3 linked regions of the Bombyx mori genome follow. The main gene of each other region encodes a partner of the protein of the gene in region 2 in a complex. Links are inferred from orthologs where the notes say so. Each region holds a gene or a part of one and is shown on either strand. Other genes may lie near its edges.

Region 1 (2,837 bases), on a different chromosome or scaffold from region 2:
AGTGACTCAAGAAATGTAGACTGCATAAAAAGAAAAGGTATTTTTTTTAGAAAGTTACAAACTTTATTAATACTAAAGTTACAGTTTCTTGGGATTCATTAGGAACAATATAATTCTTAAATTGGGTACAAAAGCTTATAAATGTGTATTTTTTTTATAGTGACACATTGTAACTTCAATGCCTTTAGCTTTATGTAGCTTAATGCAGGAGAATGAGTATCTTGAACGTGATTAAGTTGCACTATGTTGAGATTCAAGACACAATTTTTTTTATGCCTGTATTCTTTATGAGCAGTATTAATTATTGAATAAATCATTGGAAACATAATTAGAATAAGTTTATTAAATTACATTTGTGCACTTTCTCCACTGCCAGCTTAAATTATGCCGACCATTTGTATACAAATGCAATACATAACATTTGTAATAGGTATTTAAAAACAAAAAATTACCCAATTTTTTTTAGATTGTCATATGGTTTTAGGTTAATATACAAAACTACTGGTAATAGAAGCGAACAATTATTCTAAGATGAATCTGGTTTCAAAACTAATGGTACTCATTATACCGTCAATTACCTTGCAAACTTTCAGCTTATACACACAAAAATAAATATGTACAAGTAACAAAATATTTTAGTTTTGAAAATAAATAATAAGTAAATAATAGGCAGCAGTTTGGCTGTGCTCCTGGCATATCTGATGTCTATGAGTGATGGTGACATCAGGAGGGCCACAAACATCTGCCTGCAATGGCAGTAAAATAAAAACTTACTTTCAGTAAGATTTTTTATTTTTATATTGAGTTAACAAAAGGAAGAGGTAAGTTTAGTGTAATGCCACACAGCAGTTTTTTCATGATTATTGCATAGCTAAACATACATTAAATTATTAATGTGTAATATTTTTATTTGTAATAGTAGTTCTCTAAACATACAAGTGAGTCATAATAGAAGAATAGAAATATTTTACTTTTAATTCACACATTTTTCAAGCTTTTAGTTTTAGTTTGCCAAGATCATTTCTAAGTTTATTTAAGTTTTCTTGCAGTGCTTCTTGTTTGTTTTCTAAAGCACATATGTGATCATCTGTTCTTTTGATTTCTTTGCTAATGTACTCCATACGTTTGGAGACGTTTTGTCTGGCTTCTTCCAAATCTTGCTTCACCAATACGGGTCCGATGAGTTTGTATACCTCTGAATCTTTTCTTAAGAGTTTTAGTTCCTCTTTGACTGCTTTATTTTCATTTAACTGGCTGTCTAATTGTTGTTTCTGAGTGACCGCTTTCTTTATGTCTTTTTGAACACCTTGAAATAATTCGAGCTGTTTTTGAAACTTTTTTTGTATTTCTTCCGCCATTGTGTTTCAGTCAAGGTATGATTTGATAGAAAATAAACAGTTTAATACAGAAATCTTTTCCGTTTTTTTTCACCTGCTCAAAAATTTTAGTTGAGGTTATGTCTCAAATATATTAAGTGTATAATCTATGGGTTATGTGTGTATTCTCTATGGTTTTGTCATTTGTCTGACATTGATTTTGAAATTAACCATAGATAATACACAAAAAATTTCAAGTGTCACTACGTACCGGTAAAATGGGGCGATTAGGGACAAATTCCAACTTTATGACCAATTTTAAGGTAGATGTTGATGTATATAATGCTATATCAGGATCGAAATGATTGAGTCTTGGGGGCATCTTTGTTGTCCAATTTAAAACTATGCAACTAGCATTCCAGTTTAAGCAAAAAAAGCAAAAATAGGTGTAATCCCTATTTACCCGAAAATTGCGGTTAATTGGGACGAAATGAGAAATTTGCTAGGGCTGCCACTACTTGGTTTTAATTTATTTATTTATTTAGTTGCACCAACAAAGTGATCATCAACTTGATTACATTTATTTACTTATGATTAATTTATATTTACTTGAGAAATGATCCGCGACAGATTTGTCCTGTAAGTTGTGATACAATTAAAAAAAATTTATTTCATCACTTAAAATTAGTTCAGCGTAATCGGACAACTCCGAATGAACATTGACGGAGACCATGCTACCGTGGACATTATTGTAGTCCCAAAGGAGAGTAAGCTTTCTTATAAACGGTTTATATTTTTTCGTTCTTGGTAAGTACTTAGGGGCTGATATTTTTATCTGGGTTAAGAGATTAGGTGTGTTGGTTATTCCATGGATTAATCAGATGAATACCCCCACTCTGAACAAATATTAAATATTTTACTATGTATTACTTAGACATTTTTGTCCACCTTGACATTTCATTGTTCTTGTTAGATGTCTGTGCAAAATCGACTTACTTATATTAAATTGCTTAGCTATTTCAACTAAAGACTTATTCCCAATTTCAAAGGCTTCTATTGCTGTTTTTAATATTAAGGGATCATATCTCTTTTAAGGCTTTGCACTCTTTAATACGTACACGCGAGGCATTATCTAAAAATAGAAAACAGTACGTAACTGATAATATAAGTATTTACCAAACAATAAAATAACACATTGATAATTTTGAATAAAAGTTCTAGACAAAAACATCATGAATAAACAAGATTTTTACCAACAAATTTAAAAAATATTGTTATAACTACATAGACAACCCTACAAACCTGTACCTATTTATACTCAGCTCGTTTCCATTTCACGTATTCTCATCCCAATTGACCCCTTTTTCGTTGTTATTTGTACCTAAGACGTCCCCAATATCCCCAAAAACAACAGATTTTTACATGTATTTTTATTTTATCAAATACATTAAAACCAATAACAACTGAGACTTACCTTTAATATATATGATGGCTCAAACACTAAATAACGTGTATAAATCA
Region 2 (4,880 bases):
ACCACCAGTAGTAGCTCACGGCCCGTCTAGTTTTAAGTCGTTATCAGAGTCTATAGACAACCCAATGTCACCACTCATCTGAGACATGAGGTCAAATGATTTATTTCCGAAACTTAAATCTATCTTTGTTGTTTCTATCAATATTGCTATTTCTAGTTTCTAAACGTTGTCAGTAAAGGATACTATCTTGCCAAGAGTTCTTGCTTTTCATCCGGTGTCAGCACAATATGTTCCGGTACCAACTCGTGTTCGGTTATATTAATCAGTAGTTCCGATTCAAGGAACTGTTCTAGAATGTATTTGGGTGCCATATCAACCAGTGACTGTTTAGCTGATGGTGACATTCCTGAAAGTTACGAAAATATGAGTTTTATTTTGATTTTTTTTTCGAGAGATTTTTGGGATTCCTTGCTACTTAATTTATGTACATAGGTGAACCATCAAAACATTACTCTTCTCGATCAAAATTACCTTTATGGTTTATTCACAAATTGAAGATTTTCGTATTCTAATTTTGGAGTTTTGCAATGTATTAAATTTTTATGGTTCATCACTATGCAAATACGAGTTTTTTTTTTCATATCTCTGACTCATCAATTTCAAAGAAATTACTGTTAGTATTCCTCTTTGATATTGCGAAGATGGCTGCCATCATAATACAAAATTCCCTTTGAAAATAGCAGTTGTAGATTGCAGAGGTTTATTTTAGTTTTTGTAACCGGCTTACAAGCATACGACCAGCCTGATGGTGAGTGGTTTCCGTCGCTCATGGACAGCAGCAAGCCCACAGCCAAGTTGCTGCCTACCTCAGAGTAACACCTTCAAGCCACGTTTGAAGAATGACATATCATAGTGCTCAGGAAGTACTGTGGAGTAGATTTAATTCCAGAGCCGGATGGTATGTGGCAAAAAGATATCTGGAAACGCACTGACGATGAACGCATGGTTCCACATAGTATGGATGAACAGTGTGCAGATAAGGTTTTCATGCATTTAATAAATATATATCGATATATGTACACATTAGGAAGTGGCTAGTTATGAAAATACCACTAAAGCTATATTTATACATTGAGTTTCCAAAATACAATCAAAACCACAAAGTTTTACAATTAAGGAGTAAAAACCAAGACACTTATTTTGCTCTCTATTTGGAGAAAAATGTGCATTCTCGAGTACTATGTAGGATACTTTTGATTAGTTAATGATACATACCCGCCTGTACAACAACAATAGCCCTATGAATATTCTCTTCTTGCATTCTTGTACAATATGTCTTTATAGTTTTTATACCAATTTTAGCTTCATCAGGAAAGAAAACAAACATCTGATCCGTTGGATCATCATTATGAGCCACTAACACAATCAAATCACTTCTTGCTGGTCTTTTCTCACTAAAAAAATTAAAATGCTGTATTAATTTCTAGATTTCTTTATAAATCAACTCAAAGTTGATGATTTTCATATTAATTTCATCATTAACCCACAGATTTCTATTGTTGGCCATGAGTTGAATGATCTGGTAACATAAATTTCCAATTATTCACACAGTAACTACATAATCATTTACTATAGAGGTAGTATTTACATTATTCTCTTTGACAACAATCATTTTTATAAGTCAAAGTGACATTTCATTGTGAAATATTTCGATGCTAAATTACACACTTTCAAGAATTTTGAAAGGACAGCTGAAGAAATGGAAATGTTAGATAATAAATTTAAAAACAGTCTAGTACATCGCTCTCTATCTCAGACAGCTCAGTTATATTTTGGTAAGTCAATTTAGTACACAATAATTTTGGTAGAAAACACTCATTATATTGTGATTCCTTAAAAGTTTGCCGACTTGTGCTGACTTTTCAAATTATGAACATTTTATTAAAAGGCTGTTAATGTTCCAAAAAAGTTTTTGAGCAATGAAACTGATGAAAGAAACTGAAAGTAAATTTAAAGATGTTAATAGTGAGAACCTATTAAATTTGGAGATTCCAATAAGCTTCTAAGAAAGATAACAAGTGTTAAGACAAAAACGTTGAATTGCTCTGTAGCTGGATCTGAAACTTAGCAGTACTACAATACCCCTGAACCAAAATGATGGGTCAGTAGTGTTTACAAATCCATATTTGTGTTTTGATTTCATACAAGAGACCTCACTTGCAGCTACTCAGTACTTCAAACTGGATTCAAATTATTCTGACTTGAAATTAAACAACTTGTACAATACATATGTAGGGACAAATTAACAAATTATTAAAAGTTAATTTAATGTTTGGACCATTGAGGCTGATTTGTTAAATATAAAAATATAAAAATTCAAGCTACCTACAATTAGCTTTAAACTGAATAACCCTAACATTATACATATGGATTGACAATGGAAAGATCTAAACATATTTTATTTTTGACAATATAAAACGGTACAGTGCTATCCCACCATAAAAAAACATGTAGCAGATTCAATTATAGTGGACAACTTTAAAATTACAACAAAATATAACAGTGAAAAGAAAATAGAAACGGGGTCTGCAAACTCCACTGATCTTGCTGATTAGTATTAACCGTTGCCAGATCTTCAATCCAGACGCATAAATGTGTCACTGCATGATAGTTTATTTAATACTGTATACGCAAATTATAAAATTAATAAATTTTTTGATGGATGCATTGCTCGTAGCCCGAAGTCCGAATGCCTTTCTGGCTACACTAGAGCGTATCAGATTAATAAGGTTATAAGAACAATAGTATACCTTGGTTTATCGCCAAACTGCTCTTTAAATTGTTCTAAAGTTTGGTCCAATTCATCTTGCGTGACTAAATATCCTCGGTCATGGCACAACTGTAAATATTATGCCTCGGTTACTGTTAGAATCCAACCAACAAGATGAATAGCATCAAATATAACCTCACCTGCATTACAGTTTTACGTATACGCCAGAGTTTGTAAGTTTCTGCGTCATCATCCATGTTTTATAATCTACTTAAAACTGATAAATCCCTTTCCTACAAACGATAATTTCATTGATTCTCTTGTTATAGCTAGGTATTATTACCTGTAAATCCTGTAATCATAAGTGTATAATCTATGCCTGTAATGTTTTTAAAGAATATTGTTTCTTTTGACAGAATACAGATACGCAAAGGAATCACAGTCCATACAATAGATTTTTTTATAGCAAAAGCCATTCATGTCTATCTTTTGAAAAATAATTGATCTTGGAATGAAAATTAATAACTTAAAATATTATTAATTGATGAGATATATACAGCACCGTAGTTGTTAGATGAGATGAAATTAATGAACCTCTCATTAACTGTTCGGAATTTACTGACAATTTAATAAATGAAAGAATCCGAGAAACTGAATTCGGCCACTTTATTCTGTTTTCAGCCCCCTTTTTCTAAAAACTATACGGTTAATATCCATTTTAAATCTTTAAGCTTTGTTGTTTTATCCATATTCAAAGGCAGTATTCTTGGAATTATTCATTTTTAATATATTGTCATCATATTTACATAAAATGAATCATGGTCTGCAATATCCCTTCCTATGGCAGACGCCATCGGAAAAAATGTGCCATGGTGGCAGCCTCCCGCTCCGGTCATGATAAAATAAACGCTTAGCTGGCAGGCGACCGGAACGGTCAGTAATTTGATGCCGCTGTTTTCATTCGAAAAGCGCACTTTAAAACACGTTCTGCAGTGTTCTAACGCATACAACTGCTAGAACGTTAAACAAAGACAAAATATAGACGCTTTCTTAAGTAAACTTACATATGTTTTTAAGAAAAAAAACCTCATTGTTCCGGACTTGCTAACGCGGAGTAGTTGGAAGTGTTTGTGCGTCTATTTTCAAGTGTTTTTAAGTGGTTGACGACAGTATAACGAGATAAAGTTTTGAAAAAGCGATGGAAAGGTATGTAATAAGCATATTTCTTTGTTTTTGTACGTGTTTTGACACGCTTTTCGTGGTAAAACATTGATATCTAACACCTACTCAGGCTTAGCACACGCTCATGTCGGCCAAACAAACCATTCATTTAGCACCAAATATTGGTAGATTTGTGTAATTTATGGAAACAATGAAATAATTACTTAACTATTAACCTTTTCCAAATTGTAAATTTATTCAAATCTTTCATTAATTAGAGAAATATCGAATAAAATAACACGCGTCCCTCCACTGACCGGACCGGGACGATGACAGTTAGGTTATTTCGGGCAACGCGGCCATTTTGTTCGCTCGCTATCATAATATGGATAAGACTATTGGATCTACTTTTATATGGTGTTTGGTTTGCTTTGACAAATAATTTGGAAAACTTTTTTTTTATTTCTTTCTTTTTTTATTCTTTTGCACTTGCGCTTTATTTAAAACTAATTTGAATGTCTTTTTCCTGCACCCAGTTAACTGCATGTGGCTTATGTTGCGCTTTTGATTGGATTTTCATAGTGAGAGAAGTTTGCGGGTGAGGGGAGGCAGTGCAAGAGCAACAGGCGTGCGCACTCGCGGAGGTCGTTCGAGTGTTGCCACACGTGGTGGTTCACGAAAAGGAAGGGTACGAGGTAGAGGAAGGGGGTGCCCGCGGTCTTCTGTTGAACAGAGGCCGTCGGCAAGTTGCGCGTTAGTATTTTGTTTTTAATGGAACTTCAATTTTAAGTACTTGTTAGGGTTCCGTACCCAAACGGGACCCTATTACTAAGACTTCGCTGTCTGTCTGTCACTAGGCTGTATCTCAAGAACTGTGATAGCTAGAGAGTTGAATTTTTCACAGATCATGTATTTCTGTGGCTGCAATATTAAAAACAAAATAAAATAATTATTAAGGGGGGCTCGCATACAACATAGGTGATATTTTGTTACTTTTTGCTCGATATTA
Region 3 (2,283 bases), on a different chromosome or scaffold from region 2:
TAAAACTTCGTTTATTAGTACTTAATACAGAGTAAACTTAACTTTTTTGAACTAAATTTGTTAGAGATTTAGCTGCATTTGTTATAACATGAAAACACTAAAGCATGTTCAACTAACTAAACAAGATAGAGCCATTGTTAATACATATTACGACATTAAGGCGTTTAGCTGCCTTTGATTTTATAGGCCTCATATATCATATTTACCTTATAACTGTAACCCTGATTAACAAGAAATCTTTGTCTTTTTCTACTGTAAGCCATCTCCAAGGTGTCTTGTGATACTAGAGTGTAGAAAAAGGCATTATATTCTTCGGCCAAAGCGCCTTTCTTTGCTCTTAAAATACGACCTGGAAATTACAAAGGAGACTAAATAAATGAGTGAATACTCTCGACTGCAAAGATGTTGACGCGTCAAACCTAAACTTTATTTAGTGCCAAAAAGAGCGAGAAAGATATATTTCTATTATTTTGGCCACATTTTACCACATTCCATTCAAGATCTAGAAAATTCTCTCGTCGCGCACAAAGCGATTTTACATTAATTATTCAATACTAGCGACCCGCCCTCGCTCCGCTTCGGAAACTGTAATTTATTATTGATTTCTCCACTATTTCATGGATGTTATTATACATATAAACCATCCTATTCAAATCACTCTATCTATTAAAAAAAAACGCATCAAAATCCGTTTCGTAGTTTTAAAGAATATAGGGACAGAGAAAGCGACTTTGTTTTATACTATGTAGTGATGATGAAGTTTTATTTTTTATTGCTTAAATGTGTGGACGAGCTCACAGCCCACCTGGTGTTAAGTGGTTACTGGAGCCCATAGACATCCACAACGTAAATGCGGCACCCACCTTGAGATATAAGTTCTAAGGTCTCAAATATAGTTACTACAAATATTATAATATAAATTTAGATCCATGTTAACTTTACCTAATCTCTGTGCCTCTTGTCGCCTGGAGCCTCCGTGCGAAGAGATCTGTATAAGCACGTTCGCTTCGGGCAGATCGAAGCTGGTGTCGGCGACTTTACTCACGAATATCGTATTCACTTTAGGGTTGAACTTGAAATTCTGGAGGATCTGTATTCGCTCGCTCTGGGACGTCGGCCCGTAGATGTATGGCTGCAACGCGGAGATTGTTTCATTACAAATTACACCCTACGTAATATTGCAAAGCAAAAGCACCATTCAAATTGTATGTTTCATTTATTAGTTTTGAACGATTTTTTTTAATATAATTTTTACACGGCGATTGGCGATTTCAGACATGACAACTTTTATTTTTACGAAAATTATTTATTTTATTTTATAGCGATTACAAAACTAGCTGACGCATATGGGTCAACGGTCCGTTAGATATGTTCGTGTTACATTGCGTGTTCGTGTTGTTACAGACGCGACAACGAAAGCCATTTCTTGACAAATATTGCAATTACATTACGTGACGTATATGTACTTTAATACGCATGAGCGATCGCGACAACTTTTTTTTTTTTTTTTTTTTCCTACTTATGCTGATAGCCTTGAGACGACAACGTTGGAGAATTAAACGTCTGAGTCTTGAATTCTCAAAAGCATGAGATATGATGTTAAGAGACAAGCAATTCAAAGTGAACTGGTAGATAGGTGTTGTAAGCACGCACTATTAGGTACTTTTTCTTTTTCCTACCTAAGCTGATACTGCTGCTAATTATAAGCTTTGAGAGGCTATGTCAGCGTAGCGTAACAAGTAAGTAGGTGGGCTCACGGGGCTCAAACCTGACGACGTTGCTAACATTAGCCCTAGCAAGAGCAGTGTTTCGCAGAATCTACCTCCGGATTGGAAACAAGACCCGCTGAAAAGATCCGACGAGAAACTCAATGAGATGTGTCTGTGGATTAATTTACTCGCCGAGCCCTTCGTCGCAAGTGACAGGTTCGACGACGACGACGACGTCATCATTTTAAAAACACTTTGGAAGTAGCCCTTATCCGTCATATGTATTTAATTGTGGATAAATGGAAAACATTGGAACGTTGTATATTCAACTTTTTTTCGTTTTTTATTATAGCTATTCTAGTAACCTCGAGTGGTATTCTAGTTTTACCGAACTAGTAGGTGAGCTTACGGGGCTTAAACCGGGAGTGTTGCACCGGATTGGAAACGAGATCTACTGAGAAGATCCGGCGAGAAACTCAGTGGGCTGTTTCTGTGGGTTATGATAGTCAATCCCGCAGCCAGTGTTGTTTGTTCCTTGTAGAGTTATCGCTACATAAACATATTGTCGTGGTCA

The links.
Region 1: DNA-directed RNA polymerases I, II, and III subunit RPABC1 (region 2) and prefoldin beta subunit share a complex: the UniProt entries of both Homo sapiens proteins name them as parts of the PAQosome complex. The link is inferred for Bombyx mori from reciprocal best matches to the Homo sapiens genes POLR2E and PFDN6.
Region 3: DNA-directed RNA polymerases I, II, and III subunit RPABC1 (region 2) and general transcription and DNA repair factor IIH helicase subunit XPB share a complex: the UniProt entries of both Homo sapiens proteins name them as parts of the TBP-based Pol II pre-initiation complex. The link is inferred for Bombyx mori from reciprocal best matches to the Homo sapiens genes POLR2E and ERCC3.

The regions. Positions count from the first base shown.
Region 1 is NC_085112.1:4,987,665-4,990,501, reverse strand, and holds prefoldin beta subunit, read right to left. Parts: upstream 1,490-2,837; 5' UTR 1,359-1,489; coding exon 990-1,358; 3' UTR 501-989; downstream 1-500. UniProt on the Homo sapiens protein: Binds specifically to cytosolic chaperonin (c-CPN) and transfers target proteins to it. Binds to nascent polypeptide chain and promotes folding in an environment in which there are many competing pathways for nonnative proteins.
Region 2 is NC_085125.1:6,610,920-6,615,799, reverse strand, and holds the start of DNA-directed RNA polymerases I, II, and III subunit RPABC1, read right to left. Parts: upstream 3,163-4,880; 5' UTR 2,968-3,162; coding exon 2,911-2,967; intron 2,840-2,910; coding exon 2,751-2,839; intron 1,778-2,750; coding exon of another isoform or gene 1,700-1,777; exon of another isoform or gene 1,650-1,699; intron 1,395-1,649; coding exon 1,216-1,394; intron 347-1,215; coding exon 184-346; intron 1-183. Other genes in the region: piggyBac transposable element-derived protein 4-like, read left to right, coding at 3,909-3,916, 4,454-4,624; leptin receptor gene-related protein, read left to right, coding at 1,700-1,777. UniProt on the Homo sapiens protein: DNA-dependent RNA polymerase catalyzes the transcription of DNA into RNA using the four ribonucleoside triphosphates as substrates.
Region 3 is NC_085117.1:11,792,397-11,794,679, forward strand, and holds part of general transcription and DNA repair factor IIH helicase subunit XPB, read right to left. Parts: intron 1,133-2,283; coding exon 943-1,132; intron 350-942; coding exon 207-349; intron 1-206. UniProt on the Homo sapiens protein: ATP-dependent 3'-5' DNA helicase/translocase. Binds dsDNA rather than ssDNA, unzipping it in a translocase rather than classical helicase activity. Component of the general transcription and DNA repair factor IIH (TFIIH) core complex.